3 linked regions of the Arabidopsis thaliana genome follow. The protein of the gene in region 3 purifies or fractionates together with the protein of the main gene of each other region. This does not show direct contact. Each region holds a gene or a part of one and is shown on either strand. Other genes may lie near its edges.

Region 1 (7,108 bases), on a different chromosome or scaffold from region 3:
AATGAAAATTTAGAACCATGTTTAGTTCTCTATAGAACAAACTGTTCTACAAATGTTTAGATTGCAATAAATCCATCAAGATCTTATTAACAAATGAGGAGAAAGAAACAGTATAATATTAGTTAGCGAGTGTATTCGCAAAAGTCCAAGTTTTTGTAAGAATATAATTGTCATCAATCAATTGTTGTCACACCAAGCATAACAGAAACTTACAACATAACATAAAACAAAAGCAAAACTAGGGTTGATCAATGATCATGAGGTGAAGGCGCCGGCGAGTGAATCGGAGTCATCGGAAAGAGAGAGAGAAGTCGAGGCTCCGTATCCCTCGGAGTTGTCGACGGTGACGGGCGCAAATAAAACCCTTTCTCCTTGATCGATCTTTCTTGGTCATCATCGAAGCTCGGTTTCGAATCACTAGGGCTCTGACTAAAAGACCCCGGTCGATAAAACGGATCAGACATGAGAGGAGTGTCAGGGCTGAGATCGAGAGCCGGAAAATTCAAGATGGTGGGAGTGAGAATCTCGGGTGGCCCGGAATGGGTCGGGTTGATGTTGAGATAATGCTTCATCGAGTTGCGACGTTCGGAGAGTCGGAAGGACGAAGATTGTTTCTTGTTGGTCACGGCTTTGATCGGAGGGATTGAGTGAAAAGGAGGAAATCTCGGGTCGGGTTGGTGGGTCGGGTTCTTGGGGATTCCGGTGAGCAGTTGGACGACTTGCTTGAAGGAAGAAGGATCGGTTCGGATGAAAGTGGTTTCATACATGTCGTCTTTAACGTATCTGGTCGGTGTAGTGGTGCAGCTGCTTGGTGAAGGAAGCAAGTTCTTTGCTTTATCTCTGTATCTTGGTGATTTCTCCATTGATTGAGAAGAGAAGTTCAATGGATGTATATTTATGTTTTACAAGCAATATAATCTCTTGTTATATAAGATCAGAAAAAAAAAATTTAGTTCAACATTATATGAACGTGTTTATGGTAAGAAAGTTAATTAATTTTTTTGGCATAAAATAGTATAACTCTTTTATTTAGATTTTGCATATATTTAATTTTATTATTTGGAAAGAAATTTGTTCTTTTGGATTGGCTTGGTGAGAAATGTACAAGTGGTACATACATATTGACCTTCCCATTAGGGTAAATATGACTAGCTATTTGTAGAATTGTAATCTCATGTCACGCGCCACTGTCAGAGTTAGGAACTGCCAACGTTTGTTGGTGTGTGGACCTGTTGACTTGTGATTTTCATAGTAATGAGATTATTAGTCAACATATTTTTAGTCAACGCATTTACCTTCTCAAAATTTTCAAAAGAGTATCTAACCATAGATATGGGATTATATTAGTCAATACATTATTAGTCAACACATTGATTTCACAAAATCTTGTTTTTGACCACAAAATCTTTGTGAAGATAATACTGCAGATACATTCAAAAACTTCCCATAATTCAAAATATGATAAATGTGCGTTATTAGTTATTACACAAAAATTCAAATATGAGTCATCTGTGTTGGATTTAGGCATTTAGCTTATTAAAAACTTTTCTTTCCAAACTCATTGTGTTTTGTGTATCGTTCACGGAGTAATTATGAAGAAACTAGAGAAGTTTTGAAGCACTAAACAAAGCTAAACATCAAAATATTTCTTTTTCTTTTAATGATAGAAGGTACCCAAGCTAATCTCTAACCATAAAAGAAGATGTTTATTGATATCAAAATCAATCATTATTAACCATAGAACGACAAGACGATAATGACCACCATTACATGGTTGAAACATCAAATTTTTAACAGCTAGACATTTCATAATGCAAGATGTTCCATCAAGCACAAGATCATACCACTCGACCTTTCCCCATATTTCTCCTCCTTCGCGCCTTTCGAGGGCAATCTCTGCACACCAAATTTCTGTTGTCTCGCTCATTTTCTCTATTTTATGCAAAAACACAACTAATTTTCTACCATAACTTGTTGTGAATGATCGTGGACCGTCCAAACGTAGTTTTAATTCCACACCGTTCACCACTTCCCAAATCCTCTCTTTCGGGTCATACGCTCTTATACAATTCATGTGATTATCATAGTAGTACAATACATCGTCTATAACACATGAACTAGCTAGACCATTTTTCAGAGTGCAACTAAAAATATAAATATGTAGGAACAAGTTAATCCAATGAGATCTTATTATGGAATGAAGTCTTGGGTAAGTAATTTGTTATTGGGTGATTTTGAACGATTGTAAAGTGTTATTAAGTTATACCAACCCATCTATTTACCATGTTTTTGCCAAAAGATATATGTGTTGTCAAAAATATATAGATTATGTAAGTTTAACAAAGTCAATAAACTTTATATATTTTGCCAAGTTGCCTAATTAATTTTGATTCATCTTTCAATTGAAGATATATAATGATGATAAATGATAGGAGATCTACTAAATTTTAACTGATCTTACAGAAAGTTTTTTCCTAAAATCAATTATACAATAATGACAAACTTACGTACAAAGATGACTGTTCGTACTCGTAGGTCGAAATCATAGATAACATTTTTATATATGGCATCAGAGGTTTCGTACAAAATGAACAAATGTACAGTATAATTATGAAAGAAAATTATTGTACTAGTTGCTCAACACTTGTCAATACTTGTTCTGATATGATGGTGTTGGAGATAAATTTGGTCATTTCGATTCCTAATGAATTAATATATAGGCTAATATATCAACGGTTGTGTTCATTAACATCCACATAACATATTCAGAGTCTCTTTTATTTAGCAAACTATTTTTTTCTTTTTTCTTTTGGGGTCACGAAGATAAGGAATTAACAAGAAAAACCTAATATGTAAACGTCACCACTTTTTATTTAAGAAGCAAATTAGAAAGATTAACACTACCAGAAAAGCCCATACAAAGAAACCAAGCTGATACATATTCAACACAATCATTGATTAATAAAAGTTTAAGTAGCTCTTATAACACCATCTCATTTGGGGCAGGTAGGTTCGAATGCGAATGGACCAACGTTGTACACACTGTACTTGAACCATCTCATGATGGTCGAGGAAAATCCTGGTTTCAAGACCGGCTTTAGAACGGAGCCCTTGCCTCCATCGTGGAGTGACGACACTTTGCTGCACTTGGTGTCTGGAGACTTCACGAGGAAAGCTCGACAACCTTTGATATCGTAGTTGGTCACCGTCTTAGGGGCCAGGAGCATGAAGTATCCGTTCTTGTCCGTCTTTGTCTCCGATATTGAGTTCTTCTTGTTCTTGCACACAAGTCTCACCACCGCATCTGTATCCCCAGATAACACAAACGAAATAAAAAGTGAAAATATAGTACTTGGATAGATTTGTTATACAGAAATTGTTTTAAAATAATGCAAGAGCATGTATTTGTTTAGATTAGTTATGGTAAATTTACCCTCTTTTTTTAAGAAGGGGCATGACTTGAACAAGATTTTCTTACTAGTTGAGCTAAATTTGGTATTATAGGAAACTTGGGGAAAACAATGACAAGGCTTCGCTACAGTAGATTGTCTTAACCAAAAACCTATTGATTATAATTAAATTAAATTCAAAAGCATTGAAAGAAGTTACTTAGTTTTCCATGGTATATTTTATGTTTATCAATTCGTGAAGGGACCAGAATGATACGACCGGCTCTGAACTAATCTCGCTTGGTAGCATATAGTTAAAAGTTTACACAAAAAGTTTTGAACAACCGACAATGAGATTATGATACATATAACATATGCCTAAAATAAATGTAAAGGATGAAGTATGCATGCAGCATACCTTTAGCAAAAAAAAAGTATGAATGCATGGGATTGAAGTGTGGACTTTTCACATACGGACATACCACGGTCCACAGGTGCGTATATTAAGGGTTCGAGTGATTTTTAGGATAATATATAGACTTTCATATCATGAATGTATATAAGTGAGTACCTTTAACGGGTTTAGCGCCTTGGACGTTGTTGACGCCCGCGTACTTGCAAGCTTTGCAGTAGACCACACCTCTAACTGCCACTAGGGTCTTGTTGTACTTAGGAGGGTAAACTGGTGGGAGAACAGGAGGTTTGATCGGTGGGAGAGTTGGTAACTTAATCGGAGCTTTGGCTGGTGGGAGAGTTGGTAGCTTGATCGGAGCTTTGGCTGGTGGGTAGGCTGGTAGTTTGATGGGAGCTTTGGCCGGTGGAAGAGTTGGTAGTTTGATTGGAGGTAGGGGAAGGTGTTGGGGAAGGCTATGGAAGGGATCTGATGAACCAGGTTGATTCACTCCTAAGGTGAAAACAGAGGAAGTGAAGCACAAAAGTGCAAAGAGAGTTAGAGAAACACTCTTACCAATGATTCCCATCTTTGTTCTTTTGTTTTTCTTTGTGTGTGTGACTTTGGGTTGATGTGACTTGGGTGTATTTATAGGAGATATCGGGCTACAATTTTTTATACTTCATATAGATACTAGAGAGTAGAGGCATACACAGCACATGTACACAACTGGCGAGAAGTTTCCGATCGATGTAGTCCCGTTAAAGATTTAGATTTAGATCTCCTAACAGGTTTGAATACTTGAAGCAAGAAACTCGATATTGATTTGTAGTACAGTCACTTCCCGGGTTTTTTTAATAGAATAAATGAAAACTTCGTCAACCTACCTGAAGTTTATTTTTTCTGATGAAAAGATAATAATTAACGAATGCATCACAGCTGAATTCAATACAGTGTTTAGTCATATATATGTTAATATTCAACAAATTAATGTTATGATTTGAAAGTTTTATGAGAAAATTATAGTCATGTATATGTGAATTTCTTATAGTTTGTGAATTTAATGAGAGTTAGTAAAAAAAAATATAGATATAATTTTACAAATTCTATTGGACAATATGTAAATTTACAGTGTAACTTTCAATGCAAATATCTGGGATATAGATAGTATTAGTGCATGAGTTTTCATTCATGTTCCATGTTTTGTGGTCCTTAACATGGGCATGGCAACAAGATGCGCCTGGTGCGGCTTCAACACATTACAACACATTTAAAAGTTCAATTAATATCCACACTTCTGTTTCTATTTATTTGGGTTTCCAATTTGATTAAATTAGCAAAACGGTGCCTATAAAATTATTCTTAGATCAGGATAAGATAAAATACGTTAAAAAGTCAACTAGATTTTAATGAAACTGGTAAAACAATGCCCGTGTAATTATTCTTAAATCAGGAAAATAACTATTAAAAATTGATGTTAATTAATAGTGGAAACTCTTTTGGTCTAGTGTTTTACAAAAAAGATTTATACTTTCATCGTTTCACGTCATGCATAAGATTTCATTTCCTAAACTATACAATGCCTTGGAGATTATAAGTGCAATTCTTTTGGAGGTTCTGAATAAAGCTATGTGAGATCAAATACTTTTTGAAAAATTCCAAGCTTCGCAAACGTATGGTATAGCGTCACATGTAATATTTAGAGTGTTGAACCACAGAACTTTGATAAAACGTTAAATGGTACGGTGATATGTATTTAGTTTTTAGGATTGGTATTAACCTAAACCAAAAAAATAAAAATAAAGCGTGAAGATATACATAAACGTAAACACAATGGCCTTAAGCTTTGAGAGAAGAGGTAAGACAGATATACGCTAGAGTAAACCATAAACTAGGCCTAGGGGTGAAAGTTTCTAACTTTCTATACTTCAATGATCAATCTCAAGATAACAATGAGATCGACATGCAATAATTTGAGTTAATTTGGGTTTGAGTTGAAGGAAGTTTTCATACGCATTTTTAAGCCATGAGGCCCAATGATGTTTTGACAAAAAAATAGAGGCCCATGATGTATCAAGTCTCATATTTCATTTGGGTTAAAAATTGATGTAAATAGAAGTAACAGTGACTTTTGTTACCCACAATTTGAAGAATTATATGCATAGAATAATTTTTTATTTTTATAATAGTAATTATGTTAGCCATAACTTAAAGAAGAAAAAAAAATCAAAAAAGAAAACGAAAATAGTGAGAGTACGTGATCAGCTACGACGGCATCCACAATACGTAAGTGGGCTATATATTATTGTGAAGTGTGAAGTCTTCTAACAAACAAACAGAATTTCAAAATTCAAATTCAAATCCAAATCACACGAGCGAGAGAGAGCAGATAATCGCCACTCGCCAGAGCTATTGATTTCGCTTCATCGAATCTCACACTCTCTAAGTTTCGTCTGCAATGTCGTCTACCAGAAGAGGCACTAAGAGAACTCGGCCAGAGCCGCCGCAATCGCTCAAGAAGCCAACACCGAAAGCAAAACTCCCGGACGAATTGGATGTCGATGTTTCTAGGTCCGTTCTCGTGTTTTCTTTTGCTTCGTCTTCTTCTTTTTCTTCGTTTCTTCTGTTTTTTTGCTGAAATGTGACTCGCGATTGTGTTTCCGTGTTGATCGTGTAGCGATTTCAAAGGAATCATGTCGGCGTTGCAGCAATTCAGAGAGAAAGCGCACGAAGATGGCCGTAAGAAGAAGGAAGAAAGCATTTCCAGGTCATATATCTCTCCGTTACATGTTTCTCTCTGATTAGGTTATGTAAACTTCGATTTCATCATTCACTATGCAGTTATCGAGATATTCATGTCGATCGCTCATGTGCATTTGTTGATGGAGCGTTTCTTCTAATTGTTATCGTTGGTACATGAATTAGATCTGGATCTTGTATCGCAAATCAATTTATCAAGTAGATATAGCTAGATGAAGCTAAGGTGTTTGATCATTTGTTCTAGCATTTGATATTGGTTGATCTGTTGTGAAATTGGTTATGGTATGCTCATGTATCGCTTAAACTAGAAAGCATATATATGTTCGATTGATAGATATCAAGCTCTTTTATATGTGGATTAGTCTGGATCTTGTATCGCAAACCAAATATCAACTAGTTTTAGCTAGATAAAGTGTTCGATCATTTGTTCTAGCCTTTTTGATATTGGTTGATCTGTTGTGAAAGTGGTTGTGGTATGCTCTTGAATTTCATAATCTATAAAGCAAATGTTTGATTGATAGATATGAAGCTCGTTTAGTTTCATAGATACAGAATGATCAGTCTTTTG
Region 2 (7,185 bases), on a different chromosome or scaffold from region 3:
CAAAACTCACTGAATTATTATCAGTACTAATCTAATTTATCAAATTCTGCAGAATAAACTCATCAATATTAAACCATTAATACAATTGAAATCGCGAATTGGATTTAGCAAACATCTCAACATTACAAATTTTCTCGTATAATTCTCAACATGATTCATCTCAATTCCCCAATTATAATATATAATTAAGATCACAAAAGGATAATAAAAATTTGAGTAAAAAAGAAAAATTAGGTCTTTTTTTCAAGAAGTAGAAGCTGATGAAGAACCTGAGACTCTAGGAGAAGTCACCGGGAATAGAGGAAGAAGTCGAGGCTCTGGATCCATCGGAGTTGTTGCCGGAGATGGATGCAAATAAAAGCCTCTCTCTTTCATTGCTTTCTCCTCCGCAGCAAGCTCGTTGGGGCTTTGGTTTGATGACCCGGATCGATCAAACGGGTCGGGTATAAGAGGCGTAACCGGGCTGAGAACGAGAGATGGGAAATCTAAGATGCTTGGAGAGAGGATCTCCGGTTTACGGGGAGAGAAAGCTGAATTAACCGGGTTAAAAACCGGGTTTAAAGGATTGATTTTGAGATTCTTCATTGAATTACGACGCTCGTAGAGACGAAACCCTGATGCTGAAGAAGAAGACTGTTTCTTGTTAGGTACGGCTTTGATTGGTGGGATTGAGAAAGAAGAAGGAGTGGATCTTGGGTCGGGTTGATGATGGGTCGGGTTTGGTTTGAGAGATGAACCGTGTTTGGGTCTCTCGGCGGATCCGGTTAGCATCTGGACGACTTGTTTGAAGGAAGAAGTATCTGCTTGGACGAATGTTGTCGGGTACGGGTTACCGGATTCGGATCTTGTGGTTACGTGTCGGGTCGGAGTTGTTGGTGGTTTGTTACTTTCACTGCTACTGCTCATACCGCAACTGTTGTTGCTGTTGTGACATCTCGGCGACGGAATCAGATTCGTCGCTTCTCTGTATCTCGGTGAATTCTCCATTGTAAGAGAAGAGAGCTTTTAGAGAGAGAGAGAGAGAGAGAGAGAGAGAGAGAGAGAGAGAGAGAGAGAAACTGTGTTTTGTTTTTGAGTTTAATAAGCTTTGTGTTTTGGTTCGGTAAGAAAATGTTTTCGGTGGGCGCTATTGGCTCTTTAGTCTTTTTTCTAGTTTCTTTAGGTCTTTGCTCACGCGCTGATTTAGAGAGTGCGTGTCACGCGCCGTCGTTGAAAGTGGGAGGAAAAATGTGCTCTATTTGGTTTTAGTCTTGGCAATAAATGATAGAGGTAGAGATAATTTACCCAAAGAACATTGAATATCATGAGAGGAAAATGTTGAACTCAATAAGCAATGATGGTTTAGATGACTAGGACGTTTATGTGACCTTTTGGTCAATAGAATTAATATAACTCGAAATGAATGTTATGGTAAGTTGATTTATCTACGTGTCGTCGTGATATATATATTCAACCAAGAAATGCTTATCTTGGAAGTAATCTAATCATTGGGTTTTAGTCGTTTGACTAAGTGAACTTAACATATGTGGAGAGATGTTGGGCTTTAATAGTTTTTTGGGCCTTATATTTATTGAAAATCTATGTGTACTTAGGTTGTTGCTTTACTTGTTGCCAAACGGGTTCGGTGTGGGTTAAGAAACCGAGCCCAGTTAGTGTTCATTTATTTGGGCCATGTATTATATATAGTTTATATTTTCACATTGGTGTTATCAAACTATGGAGTATCGATGACATATTCATTATTCAATACGTTAGATGTTTGAATTTTGATGCTAGAATTTAGGCTTGAGATTCAAAACCTTCTTCCTTTTCACTCTTACGATTTTTGGTGAAATGCTTTTATCCAAATAGTCAATACTAGAAATGATCAAACCTTATGAATCTCTCATGGATAGATATTTGATCTCGTGTCTGTTCAAAGAAGAAAATAAGAGTGAAGTTAGAAAAGATTCACACCGCAATATACAATTTCGATAATTAAACAGGTGATCAACACTTTCATCAAATTAGCTTCTTCTCAATGCGACTAAATTCTTCTTTGCTTCATAAAAAACTGAATTATAGTGACAAGGAGAAGTTGTAAAAAAAATCAATCATGATACTGTTACTAGTTTACGCCAAGTGAGTGTGTACAACATACTTTTTCTATTGACCCGAAATGTAGAGGCCTAATTAACCAATGCATAACAACCCGGTTAACATTTTTAAGAGAGCACGTGAGAAGCTTTATGAGCTAAGGAGAATCTTGATCCATGACACCCTATAAAATATTTTTTTTTTTTTAAATGTACAATCGCTTAATCGTCCCGCCACAACCCATAAACTCTTCTTGAATCTTGTTTAACACTTTTTGTTAAAACTGTTTTTTATTAATATCTTGAATTATTATTTGTCCTTTGTAACTTTGAGATTGTGATGGGAAATAATGTCAGCCCCGTGGCCGACAATTACGCAGCTGATTTTTCTCCGTATTCAAGAACAGACTAGAAACCCTATTCGATGAGTCCCCCTTCCCATCGAGCTTTTCACCCTTCTTTGTAATCATTTTTTTTTTTGTCTGCAGCGTAACTATTTTTATCATTTTTATTTGATCAAACAAAAAAGATATACAAGTTGAGAAAGAAAATAATATTCAAGTTATTCATTTAGTTACACATTCTAATTGTAAGATTCTATAGTTAACATTCATTTTGCTCATTCGTTTTGTAATGTAATGGAATCATCTTGAAAGCTGCTATTTTTATTCAAACGAAACTCAAACGACGTCACTTAAAGAGATACAACATAATACCCAAGCATTTAACTTAAAGACTAGCTAACATTGATTAAAATTCAACCGTACAGTAGACGCATAACAACACTCTCTCTCAATCTTTTTAAACATGAAACAATCAAGATAGTAACCAGAGCATCAAATCATCTTCATTTGGGGCAAGACGGGTTAAAGGCAAATGGACCAACGTTAAAGAGACCGTATACGAGCTTGTTGACGACCACCGTAGATTTTCCCAGCTTTTTCTCAGGCTTAAGTTCAGCGCCGACATCTCCACCGAAGAGCTTTGAGACTTTGCTGCATTTGTAGTCCTTTGATTTCACCAAATACACACGACATCCTCTGAAACCGAAGTTCGTCACCGTCTTAGGAGCCAACAACAAGAAGTATCCGTTCTTGTCTGTCGTCGTCTCCGCTGTTATGTTCTTCTTGCTCTTACACACTAGTTTCACCGTAGCACCTGCACAAACCCATAAAAAAATATTAGTCCGATATGTTTATAGAATAAAAGGATATAGTTATGTGTTTTTAATTATTTTTGTGGGAAGTAGTGAAATTTATTGGCCAGACTGTAAAAAACAGTGACTGATGAGTGCAGAAGTGTACATAGTCACTCTCTTTATTTCACACCTATTTTCGAAACATTGACTACTTACGTAACAAAGGTCCCACTTGTAACGTTTTCAAATTTGAATTATTTTCTGAAATATGCGTCATGATTAAGATATGAAGTACGTATTATTTTATAGATATATACACTGTTTGAATGCGTATGCAGAGCCAAGTTGAGTTGTTTGAGAGATTGTTACTGAGGTATGTCTCATGTATGAGTGAATAAACTGAATAATGAAGTGGAAGAAATAGTAGTAATTAACAAAGAAAATAGTTCAAACCTTCGATGGGTTTAGCGCCTAAGAGTGTGTTGAAAGCAGCGTACTTGCAGCTTTTGCAGTAAACCGTACCCCGAACGGCGACTAGACTACGGTTGAACTTAGGCGGGTAAACCGGCGGTGTAACAGGTGGCTTCGTCGGAGGAGAAACCGGAGGCTTAACCGGAGCTTTGGTAGGAGGGTAAACCGGGGGCTTAACTGGAGGTTTGGCTGGTGGGGAAACTGGTGGCTTGACCGGGGGTTTAGTTGGGGGCTTAACCGGGGCTTTGGTTGGAGGGTAAACTGGTGGCTTGACTGGGGGTTTAGTTGGGGGCTTAACCGGGGCTTTGGTTGGAGGGTAAACTGGTGGCTTGACTGGGGGTTTAGTTGGGGGCTTAACTGGAGCTTTGGTTGGAGGGTAAACTGGTGGCTTAACCGGAGGTTTGGCTGGTGGGGAAACAGGTGGCTTGACCGGGGGTTTAGTTGGGGGTTTCACCGGGGCTTTGGTGGGTGGGTAAACCGGGGGCTTAACCGGAGGTTTGGCTGGTGGAGACACTGGTGCCTTAACCGGGGGTTTAACAGGAGATTTGGCCGGTGGGTGGGGGTGAGGGTGAGGGTGAGGGTGGTGGTGATGAGGAGGGTGTGGGTGGTGGTGGCCGTGGTGGTAAGGAGCAGGAGCAGGAGCTAGAGAAGGGGTTTGAGTCTTATGGTTCACTTCTTCAGTGAAGACAGAGGAAGTGAAGCACCAAAGTGCTACGAGACTCACTAATACACTCTTACCAATGAAACCCATTTTTTGTTTTGTTTTTGGGTTAGTGATATGTTTTGAGATTATGAAATGGGTGTATATATAGGTGGAAGGTTCACGCTTCGAGTGTCATGAAATTACTCCCTTTTATTTGTAAATAGTAAATCAAAATCGATCGACATGAATTACCCCATTATTAGTTACTAGTACCATTTTGTGCCCAAAAAAAAAAAAAAAAAAAAAGTCACTAGTACCATTTTGTTACTCTCTTTTTTTTGTTACTCTTTTTTTCTTCTGATAGATATTCAAGATGGAAAACTTTAGTTATCCAACAACATTAAAATGGTCATTGTTTCCTACACATCTGAAAAAATGTGATATGCAAATTTTCTACTATTACGACCAAACAAAAGTCACATCCCTGGTGAACCAATGTTAAAAAGATCTTAACCCAATTTTACCAAAAAAAAAATCTTTACCCATCTAGTAAACATTTGTCGTCTAAAATATATAAAAAAGGACTAATAAGTGTAAGATCTTTTTTTTTTATGATAATAAAATTAGATTTAATATAAGTAAGATTTAGATCGCCTATTAATTAGTTGATGTGTGTTTAGATCGTCTAAGATATGTCAAGTTGGTGTATTTTTATCAAAAAAAAAAAACAATTTGTTGAATAATATAGTCACAAAAAAAAAAAAAAGATATATAGTCACACACAATAACTTTACTATTATCACTGGTGATCCATATAAAGTGAACATTAGTAAATACTTTAACAAAAGTAAGATATTGGGATACTATAAAATTTAGGAAATTGTTTTATAGCATGAGTAATAGTAATGTTGAATTTGAATTGTCATTATAATTTGTTTTGTGAACTTTTTGTTTTGACATTATATCAAAGAAAGCAATTTTGTTTTGAAATCCAAGCTAACATGCAAAAGTTTTTGATAATTTTTATCTATGTATTTAGAAAAATCATAAGTGATGGTAATAACAGGCATTAATTTTTTTTAAAGGAATTTAGTACCATAATTCACATATGAGATAGTAAAAAACTTTGATATAGTAGTCAGGCATCTGATTCGTGATTGTATACTATCGATGTTGATTGTAATCCGAAGTTATAAATTACCAAATCTGGTTTGCATAATTGATTGAATTTTTTTTGGATTATGTCAAACAATTTTGTTTTGAAAGTAGTATGTATAACATTTTGATTGGCATTTGTGACACAGGTTAAGCTACCATTCTATAAAAGTATTTCAACAATTGTCCTACTAAACATGTAGTATTCAATTATTTTCTATATACTAAGTAGAGAGTCGAAGTGACTTTGCCATTACTTATATGAAGAGCAAACAAAACTTTCATTTGATACATTGTGATTAATGGAACCACATTTATGTAAATCTGATGTGTTTTTTTCACTATTTTCTTATAATAGATCACTGAATGAGATCTTCGGGAGACTTTGAGCGTAATTGCTGCATTGAATAGCACATGTCGCTCAATTGCTTTAGAACATTTATTTTCATAATACGATTTAATGTTTTTTTTTGCTAAAAACAAGTAACATAATACATTAAAGTTTGGTCACGTAAGTCTAATATTCTTACACAAGTCAGCTGCTGATAACATACTAAATACATAAGACAACTCTATAATACAAAAATTACTCATCTCTTAACAAGCCAAATATATTCAAATTTGAATCCATCATTATTGAGATTACTGTTCTTCAAATAGTTAAACAAATTACGCTTAGATATTTTTCCTGTTGTTTGTCTGAATGTTTTTTTTGTTTTTTTCTGTGTAAAGATTAATTTTAAAACTTCTAAATCGATTCACGAGTAGGTCTTACCCCACCATTTCTACAATGATCAGTAATATTCACGAACTGGTAACTTAAATTATTACAGTTGTGGGAGAAATGTTTTTGTCCGGAGAGAGACATGTCATGTTACATTTTCGTGTTACCTGCAAAAGTATGGAAAAAAAATGATGGACCCAATATTGGACCCACCCACCCTATCAATTTTTTATTCTTCAAATAAAACCTATCTTTGGATGCTTTGGTCTAAACGTCTCACTAGAGATATAACACAATTATGGGCCATAATTGTTTAAATGTTTAAATCCGATAACGCGATGATGTATCATTACATTTACATAGTAGACTAATCATTCTTGTCGTTGGAATGATTCTCTTTGCTTTTACGTTTTACTGAATTTAATAAAAATAATAAATACGCCCAAAAAAGTATGCATCGTGAACTTACCACATTTCCCTCCAAGAAATATGGCTACTTTCGTGGTAGTCTTTGCCCTTACATTTTTGTGTATATATAAATTTTCATTAGTCTATAATTATAGGATAATATCATTGTTGCAAATTTATTGGTGATTTGTTTCCCCAATCTCTTAAGATTATAAATTGTACGTGTAAACATTTTTGCCGTTATTCGATTTATTATGAATAAAACGAAAATAAATATAATTAAGAAATAAACTCTTAGACAAACAAATACATATATGAAATATACAAGTACCCTTTAGTAACAGTTTTTAAGTTTTAATTATATTATTCATCTTATCCTATTTAATTCATGTTCTTGTTCCCACGTCCATATGAACGGTTAGGTTTGTTAGTGTCCGATATAGTTGTGGGATCTTCACATCAACAAAAAGAAGTCCCAACAATCTCTTAAAACTAATCATGACCAATTGTCTTTATACTACTTTGGTGAAATGTTTGGATTTAATTCTGGTGATATTATGCTACCTTTATA
Region 3 (9,875 bases):
ATTAAACATCATATTGCAAGGTATTTGACATTCCTTTTATATGATACCAACCAACCAAATGTTGACTATCTTTATATGATACCACTTCTGGGCTCTGGCACAACATTTGGTTAGTAAATCGGATATTAACGTATACATGTTTTAATTGTTGACTTCGTCTTTCCTTGATCAATAAAATTGGCAAGCAATATCTGAACATTAATGTAAATCTTTGAACGGTATCTATGTTCAAATCGCATATATGAATTTTATACAAAAATGTCAAGTAATTTAATCAGTAAAAATCTTTGAAAATATTTAAAAGGTAACTTTATTTTGAGATTGTTTCAGATTTAGCTATAAATTGAACAATTAGTGTGTTCCTGTGGTGACTAAAAAAAAGTATATGAAAGATGACATCGTCAAAGCTTCACTTTGTAGCTCTCCTCATCATAGTTTCTCTTTGTATTAATGTTCAATCCGCTCGTAAGTTTTTTTTTATCAGCTGATATAAATTTTTACATAATACCTTTATATAGATATGTAATTATCATATGTATTTTGAACTAAAAGACTAGTGACATTATAGTTGAACAAGTAACGATTGTTATATTATGGTGTGCTATATATAAACAAAATGTATGAATCTTTTGTCGGCTTTGTTTCAAATTGCAACCGTAATTGTTGTAGTGTTATTTTAATCGTTTTTTTAGCAAAACACTATTATCTGTGCTTAAATCATAGAAGATTCATTGCCTATCGTATCTATAGATATATCAGAAAATAATAGAATTAGTTAGAAATTGATTTTAAAAATGTTTTATAAAAATAAAAATGTTTTGAAATTTAGAGGGTTTGCTACTTTAGTTAAATTAATAATATAAGTTTTGAAATGATAAACCTTAACTAATATAAAGGTCTCATAGTTAAATAAATCAGATTAGAGGTTAATACTTTTTTAATTGACAATATAAATAACAATTACTTCATGACCCCTTACTTCATTGATTATAAGAGGATTTGTTTTTCTGCTTTCAAATAAAAGTTTAATATCTTATAAACAATTTCTTATTGATTAGGAAAAAAATTGAGTTAATTTTGAAAGTAAAAAATAACTAATATATAGATTTTGATTTTGAGTTATTATTAATGGCTATATGCATATTATTTCAAAATTTAATGGCTAGATGCATGTTATTTCAAAATTTAATGGCTTATATGCATGTTTTTAATATATAGATTTTGATTTTGATATATATGTATATTTTTAATTTAATGGCTATATGCATGTTTTAATATATAGATTTTGATTTTGATCTATATGCATGTTTTTAATTTAATGGCTATATGCATGTTATTTCAAAATTCAGTATAAAACAATCAAAATTCTTAGTTTATTCAGTGAAGTAGAAAAAAGGATCTTATATCAATATTATATAGATCGAAAGATGACATCGATGAAACTTCACATTGTTGCTCTTTGTATTATTGTTTCCTTCCTTGTTAATGTTCAATCCACTCGTAAGTATTGGTTTCTTGTCTAATAAATATACGCTTTTTCAATCATATATGCATATAGGTTGGAGCCTAGATGTTTGTATATGTGTTATCACTTCGAAACTATCCGAATCAAAATTCAGTATAATATATGTTGTCGACAAAAATATATGCATATAAATATGTAATAATCATAGGCATTTTATACATAACAAAAATATCTATGATGGTAACTTAACAAGTAAATATTTTTAAATTGTGATGAATTCAACAGGAATTATGGATGCTTCCTCAGATTGTGAATTCAAAGGACCGTGTCATAAGAAAGAAGATTGCTATGACTCATGTGGAGTGAACAAACCACCGTTTAACAATGCTATATGTGTACCTGGCAGAGATTCGTTTCAATGTTGTTGTATTTTATCGTGATTCTATTCAAATTTAGTTTACTATTGACTTATTAAAAAAGTTATATCAAAAAAAGATACATCTGAATTCTATTGATTAACAATTTTTTTTTTCTTTCATAATCTTGTCTTAAAACGAAATAAATATAATGATATTTGTTGTCATACCCATAACAATGAAGAAAACTCAAAGAGAAGAGAGAATCATATAAGAGCCATGTACATTTATTTGGCGAATGTATTTGACGTTGAATATGAAATATGTGTAACACTGAATTTACAATATTTTCTAAATTTCATCATCATCTCTTTCATAATTATCATATTATTGACATCTAAAATTTTCTTCCAACTTATATAGAAGTAAGCCTAGCTAAAATTTGTGTTGTTTGGATCATTGGATGACTATATATTGTTAAAGAATTATCCAAGAGATGAGAGTTTTAGAGGTCACTGTAACACGAGAAAACATGTAAAACGCGATAAAACATTTGTACAATTCTAATATAATGGCCTATTTTGCTCAAATCTGTTTATTATTGTTTTAAGAATTATATAAAGATCATAAAATCTGTGGGTAGAGAAAATATCAAAAGGGAAAAGTAGGAAGTTTCTTATTGCCTAGAAAATGATGAATGAGCTGAAGAGCTTCTCTAGGTTTAAATGTCGGAACCTGGTGTCCCGCTCCTCTTACCGTCACAAACATTAAACCGTCATACTCCACCGTCCACCCTCCGACCTAACGGCAAGTGAAAGAAAAATATATATATATATATATATATCTTTAGAGTCAATCACACACTTACTTGGAAGAAAAGTTAAAGTTTGTAACTTGGAACCAAATTAACCTGTAGTTTGGTGTACCAAGGTGTCCAGTCTTGGACTATCTTAAGACCTAGCTTCTTTAGTGAGTATCTGGTTGCGGTCACGGGGATTCGCCCGTCTGTATCCCCACTATTAAGTTTACCAAACAATTTAAAACGGTTATCGCTCGTTTTCAGTTAATTCTTACATAAAAATGCCAAGGATTAGGTGTTATACCTGAAAACCCATACGCGTAATCCCGCTGAAACAAGTGTTCTTAAGGTTGGAAGCATAGAAGCGGGAGCGTCAGACCAGAATGAGACAGTGTCACTGCACATAGTAAACCATGCATATGGTTTAAGTTCCTATCTATCAATCATTTACCACACACGCTTTTGGTTAAACTATGATAGTAAGAGTATTAATATGTAGGTGCATGTGACAATTCATAAACTGATTCAATTTCCTTTGCCTATATTCGAACAAACCATAACCAAACAACCGGAAAAAAAAAACTGCTTCCTCAATATATACCTTAGAATCCTAAAACGTTAACATATATTGCTAAAAAAGACCAAACCAAACTATATGTGCTTTTTATATTTCATGAAAAACAAAATCTGGAAAACCTAACCGAAAATAAGATTGAACGTCGTAATAATACCTGCAATGAGTCCAAGGGTAAGAGATGTTGGTGACATTAGCGTGAAGTGCCTCCTGAACATCTTTTCTGTTCATATATTTTTCTGTATACTCTGATGCACATGGATCGTACCCGGCGGCCATCCTCCTCCATCCTTCCTGTATATAATCAATTATAACCGGTTAGTCAAATTGGTTACGAAAGAATTTTTTCTAAGTGATTAAAAAGACGAATTACTTACATTGTGAGAGATGAGACGGGGTCGTAGAATGCTTCGGAATGCGGGTAGGGGGCGGTTTCCGGCGACTGAATGAGAAGTAGAGGAGTTCGTGGAGGTGGGGACACACTTTGGAGCGTACAGACTGTACATGTCAAGGATCTTGTATACATCAAAATACTCATCTAAAGCGTCGTTGCATTCCTTGGTCACAAGTTTTTGTTTGAAATCGCAGTTTTTGTTCACTTTCTCGTACAATGCATCTGATATCACCGCGTGATCCCATGCATATTCTATCATCCCCTTTTGATCCGTTTCGTCATCCAATAACGCGTTTCCTATCTGTATATATATACAATTCAAAGTCTTCATCAAAACACTAGATATAGTGCAAGTGAAACTAATAATTATTGGATTGATTTAAGAAAATCTCTGACCATTAAACCCTTGAGATTAATGAAATCTTTCTTGGACGCAATCTTGTTTTCTTTGTAGATGAGCTCCGAAAGTTGTGGGACGTAATGGCCTAATAATTCCACGCAAATCATACATATTCAATGTTTTGTTTTTTGGTTTTGTAATAATCACATGTAGAAACGACGTCGTGTATTTCTAACTTATAATAATAATAATTTACCGGCGTAGCTTTCTCCGGCAATGTAGAAGTCGTGTGACTTGTACTGGGGAAATCTCTTGAACCAGTTGACAAGGAAGTTGTACGAGTCTCTCGCTGTTCATCATACACAAACTTTAATTATTAACTTACAAACAAAACTAATATTTCATTAATAAAACTAATGTTATATATAACAAACCGAACCTGTGACAGTGTCGCCGAGTTGTTTTATATCACGGCTTGTGTTAGTATAGGAGAATCCAACTCCAACCGGCGATTCCAAGAATAACAAATTCGCCGCTATGTAAATCACATTTCAAAAACATTAATTCAGTTACATTATTGATAGAAAGAGAGATAATATTTGAATATTTAGAAAGTTATGTATACCCATACCTTTGTTCCAGCTGTATGGATTTAGCTTGAGTTTAGGCTGACTCGAGTTTTGTGGGAAGAATGGTCCCAGTTCTTCTGCAGCTCCGAATCCGATTGATGAACATCCCGGTCCTATATTCACATTTTTCACCATTGAAATCTCAATATACTATAACTAAATACATTTTACTATGTACATTATTTGGAAGTACCACCAAATTTAAACTTAGGTGATATAGGCCTACTCCTTTAATTTGACTCTACATTATGTTACTTTTTATTCACTATTATTGCATAGGGTCCATTTAATTTAAGGGTTTTGTTGCTTATAATGATAAACTTGCCTTTATCAAGAAACACACGAATAAAAACAAACTTGAGAAAACTTTTAGGGCGTGCATATACGTGCATGGACCATGTGTAATGTTTGGAATCATAATGAATTATGGACCGAAGGACCGTTTAAGTTTCATGGAATTGACTTTTCTTGATATGATGATAATAGATAGATGCATAACTTTTGTGTCAATAATTACTGTGCCTTCATATTAAAGTAAAGGGCGCAATGAGCCCACGGGAGCCTATTAAAGCCTAAATATGTGGAGGTAATAATTTTAATATCCATCACATGCATATGAATTCAATTAATATGTAATAAAATATAAGCATATGGTTAATCTTCCACCAAACTAATTATCTTTAATCTTTCACCAAAATATTTTCCAAGCGTGTTATGCTGAACAAAAAGACTTACAATAATCTATCAAAGATTTTATTGTTTTATGACTATTTTCATCAAAATTTGGATTTTTACGTTGTTTAGCTCTTTATGAATAAAATGACTTAAAAATAAAGTATTTTTCTATTAACAATGTGTAAGAAACCATAAACATCTAAAAGAAAAAACCATCTAAAAGCAAAGCATGATGGAACGTTGAGATATGTGGATTGTAAATTTAAATATATAGCAAATGAGTCTACAAGAGAATAAAAGCTAGCATATATAGGATCATGTAACAACTAACAAGCATGTGGAATCATTACAAGCTTCCAAAATTACTTTAAAGTTTAACCAATCACAACCAAAACTCATCATGATGGTGATGATGATAACTACTAACCACATACGTTTCATTGATTTTGACATGGTGCCAAATGAGATACGTCTTACTATTAGGAAGCTTCACCTAATATTCTCCCCAAGTTACCTTTTTTTGTCTCCATGCATACAAATGACTGATACATACATACCTATTTATTTATGGTTTATTTTAATCCACGTTAAAAATTATTTCAGCTGTATTATATTATTTATATAGTATACGTACGTTAATTTTTTGTTATTTTACGTGTAATGTTGTTAAATGGAATTGTTTTTCTAACCCAACTCATGAAAGTTTCAAAATTCGAATATAAAGATTGCGCAAGGATCAAATATCTATTACGAAATCAATATCAAGTAGATGAAATGCACACAAAGCATGATACACCTTATTTTATTGGTGGGTTTTAATCTTTTAACTATGAGACGTAATAGAAGAAAAATGAGTGGATGTGAGTTAGTTTAACTTACCTCCATTGAGCCAAAGGAGGACAGGTTTTTTGCTTGGATTCTGAGTGGCTTCAAAGAACCAATAGAACAATGCTCTTCCATGTGTTTCATTAACCGTCACATAACCGGCGTATTGCCGGAATTTCACTGGCGGCTGTCCCGGAAGCTCTTTCACTCGATCAGCTCGTTGCGCTGCCAAAACCCTAGACCGGAAACAACCGTTGTCGCCGTCGTTGTCACTGCACAGCTTTTCTGCTGATGTTGAGCCAAGAAGAAAGGACACAAGAAATAGGACAAGAACAGAGAACTCAACACTATGAGAACCCATTTCTTTTTAGTTTATTATAGTTTAATATATCGAATTTGTGGAAATTGTGAAGTGACTGTGTAAGCTTATATAATGTTGTGTGAGAGAGAGAATGGGATTCAGAGACAGATAAGAACACTCTGTAGTCTCACTGGGTGGTAACCATATTCATAAGATAAGACACATGAGAAAAATCAAATTCTGGAAAAGTAAAAAGAATTTTATTTCTTTCTGATTACAAAGAAAGATTCATTTCTTTTTATAGGAAGATTTTTCTCTTTCTTTTTAATTAGTTTGAATAAATTAATAGTTGCAGTTTTATAAATATTTTTTTTTATATGAATTTCTCTTTTTGTTAACACTTGGTGAAATATCTACACACGCAATTTGTGATCTGTCTTTAATATCGTTTTCTATTTGAATTATATGATTATACTTGTCTTTGTAACCATTTCCTTAAGACGAAGACATCAAAAAATATCAAATATGATAGAAAGCAAGAAATTTTATTTCTTTTTATATCAGTAATAATAGTAGCAAATTCTCTTTATAAAAATAGAAAGGTTTGTTAGAAATTGAGTTTCCCTTTTTATGGGCAATTTCTCTTTTTGTTAGACTATACTAGATAAATAGAAAATACGTACAGACAGACGCAACTTGTGCTATGTCTCCAATATCGTTTTTGTATCATGATTGAAATAATTTGATATATAAATCAAAAGGATAATATAAAAAAAATGTTAGAGAATTAGAGATAATGAAGTGATTGGTCAATGAATTGGAATAGAAGGATCCAAATAAAAAGCAGAGCAGAGCAAAGAAAGTGACGGTTCATTTCATAAGATTATTTCTTAAGAGAGATTTGACCAAACACTGTTTTACTTCTCTCTCTCTCAATCTTTCATGTTCCTCCCCCTTGAAATTAGCAACGACCGATCTACATAAATATTTTTATATAATATAATGTGTGAATTGTGATGTATGTGCAAAGTAAATTATACCTGTCATATAACAAAACAGAATGTTACGGCTTTGATTGCGTAATAAAAAGATTCAGTTTCTGTTTATATACGTCATAGAAGTGTATATCTACATCTACATGTACTCTCCTATTATACCTATATACATTAAGAAGTCACGAGGCATTTATGTTACAGTGTGATCAATATGAAATGTTTACAAACAAAAAATTTATAAATTTTTTTGTTTGCATTATTATATGACTAACGTGTTTTAAAAGAAACTAGCTAAGATTCTCTACGAAGATCATAAACATGTAAACATTTACTCTCTTTTTTTTCAATTACTATGTCTTTTTTTTGCGTAGATAATTATTACATGTTTAAGTTATCAAATAGTTCAAGAGTGAGTTTAAACAACATTTGATATACTCACAATGATTATAGATAATAGAGTTATAAGATTATACAATTATAGTTTTCATATAATCGTTTATGTTGAAGTTGTGCATTTTATGTCTACTTTATTGAATTCGCTATTCCTTTTGTGGTAATTATTCGGTAGTCATATTTTCCGATAACTTTTGAACGTCTTCAATTCAATAATTTTGACTACAAAACCAAATCCATCATTAAGTCATTTATCACATTCAACAACACAGATCATCACCATTGTTCCATTCCAACCATCCATTGAGAACTCTATAATTGCATTGGCATTACGTAATTTCCCTATTACAGTTGCAGCACTGGTTTCATCACAGAGTCGTGTGTTGCTCTTCGTCCATAGTATGTAACAACAGAACAACATAAAATATTAGAATAAAATGTCTTCCAAAAATAATCGAAAAACAAAAATAGTGACACAATCAGCGAAACGACGTCCCGCTAATAGTCTAAAGAAAACCGAGGAGCATGTTTTGAAACAGAGCCTTTCAAGTTTCATTAAAACATAAAAGAGAAATTTAGCTCCATCTTCTCCTATCTTCCTCCTCGTTAACCGGAGTATACCAATCTGGTCGTCTCTTAGAGTTGCTCAGCCTGTAATTCAGCAAAAGTTCCTCATTACACAACGACCTCGTTGCCACCAAGACCAGTGTCTTCAGAACCGGAGCTTCTAACCCGTTTTTACTCCCTGTCTTAAACCAGAAACTTCCAAATCTTTTCATCTTTATTTCTCCAGAATCCCCAAAAGATATATTCGGAATGTAAGGCCGCAGATCTTTCGCCATCAAAGGGAAGTCATAAGGACATATCATAACGTTTGGAGTCATCTCTTTCGCTGGGTGGTTAGCTAAGTGACCAAAAGCCAACGGATTTCTCCTCTCAAGAACCTCTTTTCCTTTACCCGAACCTTCGAGAGGCTTGCTCAACGCTTTCCATAACCTGTCTGACCCGTTTTCTGCGGTTTTGGTGTTTGCTTTGACCGCAGGTGTGTAGGACCCGTTCCATGCTTCCCTTGATTCTCCCCCAAGACCCCAAGGTTGAGCATTTATTACAGTCCCATCATACCTGGTGATGAGATATGAGTTCTGTGAATCAACCTTCGGGTACCCGGGTATGTACTTGTAGAAAGCAGGAGAGTAAATAACTCCAGGGTAAAAGGCTAAGACGGTTCCAACATCTGCCTCGCCTTTGATAAAACAACCTTGACCAGCGTCTTTGTGAGGTATTACAGACGGTTTGGTCTCGAGGGTGTAACCCATTTGATCCATTAATCTCTGTGAGACGTCATTGAGTTTCAAAGGCTTTGTCTCGGGAACAACTGTGCTGAAGAAGAATCAGTGAGAATACTAATTAAGCTGAAAGAAAAATACTGAGTAATAAGTTCACAAATCGATTCAAGTAAAGTAAAACACTTACGGGGCTGATCTGCATGTGGAAAAGCATTATTACTACCAATGGCGAAAGTAAGACCACTTCTACGAGGAGGACGAGGGCTTGTTGATTGTGACCCCGACTCGTTCCTCCTAACATCAGGAAGAAGGATTCCATCCATCAAAGAGCAGAATTTTTCAACTTGGTAGTGAATGTTCTCTTGAACTTGCTTCTGCTGCTCAGATAAAGTGGCTTTACCAGCCATCTCAATGATCTCCTCTGCATCAGTCTCCTCAGCTTCTCGTCCCAACCGGTTATAGCTAAACACAACAAGTTTTCATGAGCACAAATAGTGGATGTATATACAAGAATTAATAACTTAGAAGGAAAAAAACTAGAGCTAAACTAAAGACTATCGTGTGTGATGGTTCACAAATCCATATTAGAAATCAGACTTTGATTCTTCTGAGACAAAAAAAACCAACCTTGTATACATAAAGAGTTTGTTAACGTCTGCTTCAAACTGCAGTTGCCTTGGGTTCTTAGCAAATGTGGTACTCTTGGCAAGAACTCCAACAGCCTGCAAATGCAAAGTTTATCAAATGAGCAACTTCATTAGAAATTTATCAATAAAAAACGAAACTTTACGATTCCCCTTCAGCCTAATTTCAATTCTTCTAATCTTAATTCTATTGGTGCAA

Evidence for each region.
Region 1: the proteins of SCPL34 (region 3) and AGP30 fractionate together in Arabidopsis thaliana (co-fractionation; one large-scale study listed by BioGRID). This does not show direct contact.
Region 2: the proteins of SCPL34 (region 3) and AGP31 fractionate together in Arabidopsis thaliana (co-fractionation; one large-scale study listed by BioGRID). This does not show direct contact.

What each region holds. Positions count from the first base shown.
Region 1 is NC_003071.7:14,290,869-14,297,976, forward strand, and holds AGP30 (arabinogalactan protein 30), read right to left. Parts: upstream 4,486-7,108; 5' UTR 4,370-4,485; coding exon 3,961-4,369; intron 3,305-3,960; coding exon 2,994-3,304; 3' UTR 2,693-2,993; downstream 1-2,692. Other genes in the region: AT2G33780 (VQ motif-containing protein), read right to left, coding at 249-863; AT2G33793 (DNA ligase-like protein), read left to right, coding at 6,239-6,351, 6,458-6,547. UniProt on the Arabidopsis thaliana protein: Proteoglycan required for the timing of seed germination. May function in the abscisic acid (ABA) response.
Region 2 is NC_003070.9:9,886,409-9,893,593, forward strand, and holds AGP31 (arabinogalactan protein 31), read right to left. Parts: upstream 4,608-7,185; 5' UTR 4,436-4,607; coding exon 3,667-4,435; intron 3,234-3,666; coding exon 2,923-3,233; 3' UTR 2,693-2,922; downstream 1-2,692. Other genes in the region: AT1G28280 (VQ motif-containing protein), read right to left, coding at 244-987. UniProt on the Arabidopsis thaliana protein: Proteoglycan that may contribute to the strengthening of cell walls.
Region 3 is NC_003076.8:7,807,435-7,817,309, reverse strand, and holds SCPL34 (serine carboxypeptidase-like 34), read right to left. Parts: upstream 6,666-9,875; 5' UTR 6,419-6,665; coding exon 6,112-6,418; intron 5,701-6,111; exon of another isoform or gene 5,686-5,700; coding exon of another isoform or gene 5,667-5,685; intron 5,318-5,666; exon of another isoform or gene 4,693-5,317; coding exon of another isoform or gene 4,671-4,692; coding exon 4,560-4,670; intron 4,464-4,559; coding exon 4,368-4,463; intron 4,278-4,367; coding exon 4,185-4,277; intron 4,074-4,184; coding exon 3,985-4,073; intron 3,890-3,984; coding exon 3,572-3,889; intron 3,489-3,571; coding exon 3,352-3,488; intron 3,018-3,351; coding exon 2,925-3,017; intron 2,838-2,924; coding exon 2,732-2,837; coding exon of another isoform or gene 2,702-2,731; exon of another isoform or gene 2,623-2,701; coding exon 2,473-2,622; 3' UTR 2,224-2,472; downstream 1-2,223. Other genes in the region: AT5G23212 (Defensin-like (DEFL) family protein), read left to right, coding at 393-465, 1,751-1,905; AT5G23200 (C5orf35), read right to left, coding at 8,322-9,121, 9,220-9,494, 9,660-9,754. UniProt on the Arabidopsis thaliana protein: Probable carboxypeptidase.